2 linked regions of the Callithrix jacchus genome follow. The protein of the gene in region 2 purifies or fractionates together with the protein of the main gene of each other region. This does not show direct contact. Links are inferred from orthologs where the notes say so. Each region holds a gene or a part of one and is shown on either strand. Other genes may lie near its edges.

Region 1 (4,501 bases), on a different chromosome or scaffold from region 2:
CGCTAATGTGCTCTTGTTTTGCTTTTGAGAATTAGAATAATTAGCAGGTCATTTTACAAAGAACTGTCATATAAAAGAACACTTCCAAAAGGCTAAAATAGGTTCAAGGTCATTATTAAAGTGATACAGGGAGGTCAGTGAGGGAAACATTTGTGTTCTCAAAAGCCAGATTTCACACAATTGCAGGCACTAAATCTAGTTACATGTGCTTGCAGTAGAAAAGAAGACACTGATCTCAATAAAGGCTGGTCTTTTTCATGATGCGCAGGAACTCTTGCTCACTGACCTCTCCATCTCCATCTCGATCAGCTTCATCAATCATTTCCTATATGACAGTAAATATTCAGGTTAGCTTAATTTATAAACTAATTCAAAAAGGTGATTAAGGAATAGACTTTTTTTACAGTCAGGGTCTCTATGCTGCCCACACTAGTGCCAAATTCCTGGCTTCAAGTGATCCTCCTAACTCAGCCTCCCAAAGTACTGGGATTATAGGCATGAGCCACTGTGCCTGGGAAGCAATAGACTTTAATAAAGCTATGTGAAAAGATCATCGTAGTCCACCCAATGCCAGTATGCTACTCCTGATAATAGCCTGGTTCCTGAATAGTTATTTGAAAACCAAGTCATATTTTGTGAAACATATCACCTGGGAGGGAGCTTGAAGACTGCCTTGACTAGAGGGATTCCTGGAACCCAAAATAGTAAGTAAGATTGTGCACCTGTGCATTTTTCTAGAAGCAGGGCTCATAGGTTTGTCTGACTATTAAAGGGACAAGAGTCCACTGGCTTTCCTTCAAAGAGATGCTCACACGAGGAAAAATGTAACAGAAAAGGCACAGAAGGCTGAAAGGTGGGAATCTGAAGTTCCAGTGTGAGGCATTACAAACCTGCAGCTCCTCATCAGTCAGGTTCTCACCCAACTCCTTGGCCACGCGTTTCAGATTTTTGAACGAAATCTTCCCAGTTTCATCATCATCGAAGAGCTTGAAAGCTTTCAGGATTTCTTCTTTGGTATCTTTCTCAGACTTAACAAGTAGAACATAAAACACATGAGTAGGGAGACACCACGGTTACTTGTGTCCTGTAGCCCTGCCGCTGCCCAGTCACCCTCTCCTTTTTAACAATAACTCGAGTCTAGACTTGCAGCCAGTGTCAGGAAGCCCATTTTGGCCTCAGAGAAACACCAGGCAAGCCAGGCACTCCATCCAAGGTGACATTTGCTCCCTATCCCACATCTGTTTCTTAACTGGTTTGGAATTCTGTGGGATGAGGTATCTGCTTGGAAGTCTTGAGAGAGAAGCACAAGGTAACATGACGGGAGGGCAGGCCTGAACTGCTGTGTGCTCACATGACTGTTTTAACAGGCAGATGCCATGGGCCTCTGCAGATGACTGGGGCTCTGTACCATGCCAATTGTCTTAACTACTTACCATTTTCTGGGTCATCACAGTTAAAAAGTCACCAAAGTTCATTTTTCCTGTCCCTTCCTTATCAATTTCACTTATCATTTTCTTAATTTCTTCTTTCTTGGGTTCAAAGCCCAGGGCCCTCATTGCCACCTACAATGAAAACAGGATTGTCTCAATATACACATCTAAACTATAAGAAGCAAAAATAACAGTGTTGAGAGCATTAAGTCCGTATCTGATGTGATCATGTTAATATGATTCGGGAACACTTTAACACAGATCTAATTGATATCTGCAATCCATCTGATAATACTCAAGGTAAGTAAAGACAGGAAAACAGAGCACAGTACAACCTCCCCTGTTACTTACTGCAGGGAGAAGAGGGCAAAAGGGGTAGAGAGGTGATAAAGAGATGACAAGGAAGAGGGAGAGGAAAGGCAGGGCAAACGGCAGGAATGCATAGAGCTTGCCTTAAGTTCCTTAACATCTATGCTGCCAGTTCCATCTGCATCAAAAAGATCAAACGCTTCCCGGATCTCCTGCTTCTGCTCTTCTGTAAGCTCAGGCTTAGGACTCATTCTTTTTCGCTGGGCACTTGACGCCATGTTTGCCTTCTTAAAGCTGGAGGCCTTTATATGTTATGCAAATACATAAGCACAATAATATATAATACAGTCCATATTTACATAACATAGTTACAGACACCTATATGTATTTTTAAAGTCATTTATAACCAATTCCAAAGCTTTGCTTAACAAGAAATATCACAGGGTTTACTATTGTTTCTAGATGCAGGGAGATCATTTGTTCAGTAAGGATATCTCTTATTGAAAATCATCCCAAAAGAGAGCTAGTCAAGAAACTGACTGTGAACAACTAGAGATAATCAGCTCTTCCCGAATGTGGGGAACCTGGTTCTGGAAACAGCCTTAAAATGCCCACTGCCAGTACTCCGCTTCCTAGTAAGTACTCTGACTTCCCAATTACTTCTAGATTTGCCCAAATATTAGGAAGTTAAGATGTATATCGTGTCAGTATCTAATAATAAAACTCAATCCATCTGGCACCTTCGTGCCTTCTCCAAGAAGCTAAAGCATCCCCTTAATGCCCCTATATTTATATTGTAGAAAACATTTTCAAAGAAAACAATACACCTTCTCCCAGTTCTGTGGGGAAACTTTGGCAGAATGAGGCGGCCAGGAGGCCAAGGTCTGAGAGAGTCAGGGGTCTGTGAGGGATTCGAGTCTTTTTTGCCCAGGGAGGGTCACCGAGGGGACCAGGGAACGCCAGGGGAGCCTGAGGGGCGGGTGTGGGCCTGTCGTGGGTGAAGGGGAGGCAGTAGCGAAGCGCAGGCCCAGTAGGTTGGTTAGCGCCTGTACCCTACCCTTCCGGGAAAGAGCTCAAAGGAAGGACTGTACGCCAAAGCCGAGAAAGGCGCAGGAGAGGCGGCGTGGCACAGCCGGGGCTTGGGAAGGGCTCAACCTCTGGGCGTGGGGCGCGACGGAGCGGCCAGCACTCACCATAGCCAAAGGACTCCGCTGCCGGTTGTTAGGCAACCGCAGTATACACTGACTCGGCCCCGTTCCCACCGCCCCCTGCGCGCAGCCCCGCTCTCCATTGGCCGTCTTCTGGCCCTCGCCGCTCTCCATTGGTTCAGGGCCGAAGTGGGTGGAATTAACCTGGCAAAGCCCTGGACCAGCGCGGGGAGGGGCACGCTGGCGACACAGGCCAGTCATAACTGGGCAAGATCACGCCGCGAGCGCCAATTGGCTTAGCCAACGCTGAGCTGGGCCAATCCTCTTGGTGGAGGAAGCTCGGCTGATTCTCGTCTCACGCGGGAGGGTAGTAAAGGGTGGCGGTCTGAGGCTAGAGTTCGGTGGGTGCAGCCTGCTTGCGAGCTGAGGCCAGCCAGGGGGGCGCCTACAGACGGGTAAGAGTCGTGGTCTTGCCCTTGGAAGTCACCTTGTGTCAGCGACTGGGCAGGGCGGGAGAGTGAAGAGCTGCGGGGCCTCCCGGGTCGGGTGCTTTCTGGGCTGACCTCAGGCTGAGTTAGGGACCGAGTGCATCAGAGCCCCCAGATGCTACTGACCTTGCGTGTTGGAGCAGGGGCTGTACTCACGGGGCAGCTGAGACCCAGAGAGGGGAAGGGGTGTGCTGAGCGTCGTTGCAGAGGTCGGACTGCTGGTACCTAGGAACTGAATCCAGCCGAGGTTCGCTCTTTGAGGGTGGCCCTTCGAGAGCACTCCCAGACTGCCCCAGAAGTATAGGCCCCAGATCAGGTTCCAAGAGGGGATCACTTTAGGTCTCACGTGGCTAAAAGCAGCCCAGGACGGTGAACTGGGGGCTTTGGGAACGGACTTTGAAAGGAGTGAGGGGGATGTGAGCGAGCATGAGGGGCCGGGAGAGGTCATCAAAATATACTCTTTTTGACACCCACTCAAGACAGATAAGGAGGAGCATTCCAGGCCGAGATGCCCTCATAAGCAAAGTCCCAAGAGTTTTGGAAGTTACTGGTATGCTTGGAGAATTCAAAGGGAGCATGTGCAAGGGCTGTGGACTGAGATAGACCTGCAGAAAGGGAGCTGGAGGTCCAATTTGCCCACTTTCGCTATTCCCGTGGCTTTCGGCCTTCACCTGTCTTTCCTCCAGGCATTGGGGCAGTAATCTAGGGAGGCAGAGGGCAGAGAGTAAGTTTCTCAGGCAGAGAAAGGCCCGAGGCTTATTAGAACCTTTTAAATGGAGCTTCTGCCCTTTGCCCTCTTCCTTCTTCAGCAGTGAACAGATTCATCATCAGCCTCCCAAGTAGTCCGAGCCAGAGTTCTCACCATGCCCTCTGCAAAGCCTATTACTCTTCTCTCCTCAGGCTCACTCCAGCCCCACAATACTGGCTTTGTCGTTGAACCTCATGTGCCAGCCACACTCCTGCCTCTCATTTTTGTCCCAGTTGTTCCCTCTGCCTGCCTCCTCTTAAGCAGTCCCCGGTACAAACAAGCCACTCACCTTGCTCTACTTTTTTTCCAATAGTACTTACCACCTTCTGACCTACTGTATATTTTGCTTATTTATTTTGTTCTCTGTTCTCCCTCCAC
Region 2 (3,814 bases):
TTAGAGCACTTATCATAGCAGATCCCATCTATCTGCTTCCTCCGCTAGAAATGTGAGCACCTTAAAAGTATCTTACCTCTATCTGTAGACACTGGGAATAACTAACACAGAAGAGACAGCGTGTGGTTTTGGATAAATCTTTGCTTTGATGAAGCCAATCTCTACAACAGCAGTCTAGCATATATTATTTCCTATTTTATGTATATAGACACACACATTTATATACATATCATTTTGATATATAGCAAAAAAAAGCTCATAGAGTGTTTCCTTCACCCTACATGACATGCTTTCATTATTCCTCTTTGCTACTTTATTTTGCTCTGCATATCACATTTAAACTTCTTATGATCTTCTCCCTCCAAAATTGTCTACAGGATCAGAAACAATTTGAATTCCAACAATACGGCAAAACAAACGCATAGTTCATAAATGCCAATTATAAAGTGAAAATCTGTTTATTTCAATGAAATAAAGTTCATTTTCATAACTGCTGAAGAATTTCAGCTTCCTCTCATCTGCATTTCTCTTTATTATTCCTTGGAGAGCACAGAGAACACACCATCTTTACTCACAGTTACACTGGTCACATACGTAGATTTTTCCTTCTAAAGCTTCAGTTTCTGTAAATTTGGCCAACATTTCAGTAACCAGACATGGCTGGGAAGCAGTATCTTTTCCACTGCATTGATATCGTTCTGGAAACTCCAATGACAAGTCCCAGAAAGGTTCTATGGTATTTGATTTGTTGTCACATGCAAGACATGTAACCTGCAAATAAGAATATTCATTCCTAAGATTATAATCTTTCCATCAAAACATTAACTCTTTTCACTAGAGGTCACTGCCAGTAAATAAGCTTTTCTCATGAAAATGCACCATTAGAATTCTGAATAATCTGCTTTACATTCTTGTCAGGAAATCTTTCATTATAATTTTTCCTTCCAAAAGACTGTCATTAGTCCCATCATGAATTAGGTGCTTTAACTACTGGACATTCAAAAAGCTCTAAGGGCATTACATTTAGGTAAAAATCCAAATTGTAGACATACTGAATAGAAACGTATTATGTATATGTATATATAGATATATACATATGATGTTTATTCACATGCATTAAATTTAATGTATTTATGTCATTAGTCTTGAGGTTCCTCACTGTTTCTCCATCTTTTTTTTCTGAGGTAGAGTCTTGCTCCGTCCCCTGTATTAGGGTGCAATGGCACAATCTCGGGTCACTGCAACCTCTGTCTCCTAGGTTCAAGTGATTCTCCTGCCTCAGCCACCTGAGTAGCTGGACTGCAGGTACCAGCTACCATACCCAGCTAATTTTTCTACTTTTAGTAAAGACAAGGTTTTGCCATGTTGGCCAGGATGGTCTCAAATTCCTGACTTTAGGTGATCCGCCCACCTCAGCCTCCCAAAGTGCTAGGGTTACAGGTATGAGCCACTATACCCGGCCTCTCCTTCATCTTTTGATGATTTTATCCCCCCTAATTCCAAATGCTATAACCTCTTAGTCCAATCCAATCTTAACCATATTAGAAGTAAAATACTATCTTTTCTTTTCCTTTTACTTATTTATTTTTTGAGACGGAGCTTCAGTCTGTCACCCAGGCTGGAGTGCAATGGCGTGATCTTGGCTCACTTCGACCTCTGGCCCCTTAGGTTCAAGCAATTCTCCTGCCTCAGCCTCCCCAGTAGATAGGATTATAGATGCCTGCCACCACACTTGGCTAATTTTTTTGTATTTTTAGTACAGACAGGGTTTCACCATGTTGGCCAGGCTGGTCTTGAATTCCTGACTTCAGGTGACCCATCCGCCTTGGCTTCCCAAAGTGCAGGGATTACAGGTGTGAGCCACTATGCTCGGCAATACTGTCTTTTCATTACGCAGTTAGGCCCTGACAACTGATTATTTCAAAAGACATGATATATGACATAAATGATGTTATACTCTTAAACATCCCATTAAAATCCCCTTCCTAACACAGAAAATGAAAAACATGGAGCTGTTTTAACAACTTACATAGGCAATGTAGCAACTGGAAAGGACCTGAATAGTAACTTCAGTGAGACATTCAGCAGAATTGAATGCCAACAGACACTGCACATAATTGAAGACAGACTCCATGAACTAGCAAGTCACACATGATATGAAATATTATAAAGAACCTCTTTCATACAAGCTATAGTCCCGGCATAGGCAATGAAATAAAGAAGCCAGATCTAATACAGATTTTAGATTTAACAAATTGACACAAAGAATACTCCTGGCGTTTATAATCTAGGGACTCAGTAGTGCCAGGGCCTGACATTGTGAGAATTTTCTTGAATTAAAAAAAAAAAAGACAAAAGAAAAAACACACAAAAAGCCATTCCAGGCTGGGTGTAGTGGCTCATGCCTGTTATCTCAAATCTCAGCCCTTTGAGAGGCCAAAGCGGAGGACTGCTTGAGCCAGGAGTTCGAGACCAGCCTGGGCAACACAGTGAGACCTCATCTCCATAAAAAAATAAAAGGAAAACACATTCCAGCAACCAACTGTCTTAAATCTCCTGAGAACCCGTTCCCTAAGAGTGTATTAAAGAAAAGCAAAAAAAATGGTATAATAATTTGTATTAATTTCAAAATTTATTTATAAAAGGGAAAAAAAGCACATAGCCACTCTCATATTACTGGAAATATATTTAAAAAAGAAAAACACTTTCTGGAAAGAACTTTGTCACCAAGTAACAGATGTCTTACTCTGACAAAGTCAGTGTCCAGGACTCTGTCATAAGGAAATTGGAAAAATTAATTGACATCATAAAAATGGAAAAAATTAAAAACAGTCAACAATAGAGGAAGGTTAACTAAGTTATGGTATAAACATGATGTTAAACAACAGAAATATACAAAAAGAAAAAAGTGATGAACATTGAAATGTTTTGAAAAGAATGATGAAATATTTTTAATGACTGGAAAATCATCACAACATTAAACGGGAAAAGCAGGTAAGTGCAAAACGAGCAATTATGGGAAAATATGTATCTATGTGCAGGAGAAAAGAGACTAGAAAAAAATATACCAAAATATTAACAGTTTTACCCATGGATTGTGGGGTTACAGGATTAGAGAATGATTTTTCACTTTTTCTACATAGATTTCTTATATAGGTTTCCTGCAGCTATATATTGCACTCTATAATAGCGTATTTAAAAACTTTTGCATGAAAAGGAAATGACGGAGAAAGATAGAGAAGTAAAATTGCATATAACACAAGTACAACTCTTACTTGCTCACTGACACAGAGTAAAGTCTGCATTTTGAAACACTGAAAAATAAACTTCATAGATATTCCTTAAGGAGAAATGCATCTGAAATACTTAAACAACAATCTAGGAAAGTATGCTATAAAAACAAAAGATGACCTTATCACAGTGAAAGTTGAACTGAAGCCGGGTGTGGTGGCATGGTGGCTCACAAGGTCAGGAGTTCAAGACCAGCCTGAACAAGATGGTGAAACCCCATCTCTACTAAAAATTCAAAAATAAGCTGGGCGAGGTGGCGGGTGTCTATAATTTCAGTTCCTTGAGAGGCTGAGGCAGGAGAATTGCTTGACCTGGAATGCGGAGGTAGCAGTGAGCCAAGATCGCACCACTGCACCTCCAGCTTGAGAGACAGAGCAAGACTCTGCCTCAAAAAAAAAAAAAAAAAAAAAGTTGAACTGAAAAACAGAGGTAGGTGTGCAGGGGGAAGGAAATGACCTATAAAAATTTTGTTTAAATCTGTGTTATAAGAAAGTTGAGAGCCTTATGTCTATTCATAGTTCAT

What was found.
Region 1: the proteins of USP44 (region 2) and CETN2 purify together in Homo sapiens (affinity purification with mass spectrometry; 4 studies listed by BioGRID and IntAct, counting the BioPlex papers as one, with this or other methods). This does not show direct contact. The link is inferred for Callithrix jacchus from reciprocal best matches to the Homo sapiens genes USP44 and CETN2.

The regions. Positions count from the first base shown.
Region 1 is NC_133524.1:148,959,899-148,964,399, forward strand, and holds the start of CETN2 (centrin-2), read right to left. Parts: upstream 2,983-4,501; 5' UTR 2,936-2,982; coding exon 2,933-2,935; exon of another isoform or gene 2,797-2,932; intron 2,042-2,796; coding exon 1,883-2,041; intron 1,563-1,882; coding exon 1,434-1,562; intron 1,029-1,433; coding exon 891-1,028; intron 326-890; coding exon 236-325; 3' UTR 1-235. UniProt on the Homo sapiens protein: Plays a fundamental role in microtubule organizing center structure and function. Required for centriole duplication and correct spindle formation. Has a role in regulating cytokinesis and genome stability via cooperation with CALM1 and CCP110.
Region 2 is NC_133510.1:98,610,386-98,614,199, forward strand, and holds part of USP44 (ubiquitin carboxyl-terminal hydrolase 44), read right to left. Parts: intron 772-3,814; coding exon 576-771; intron 1-575.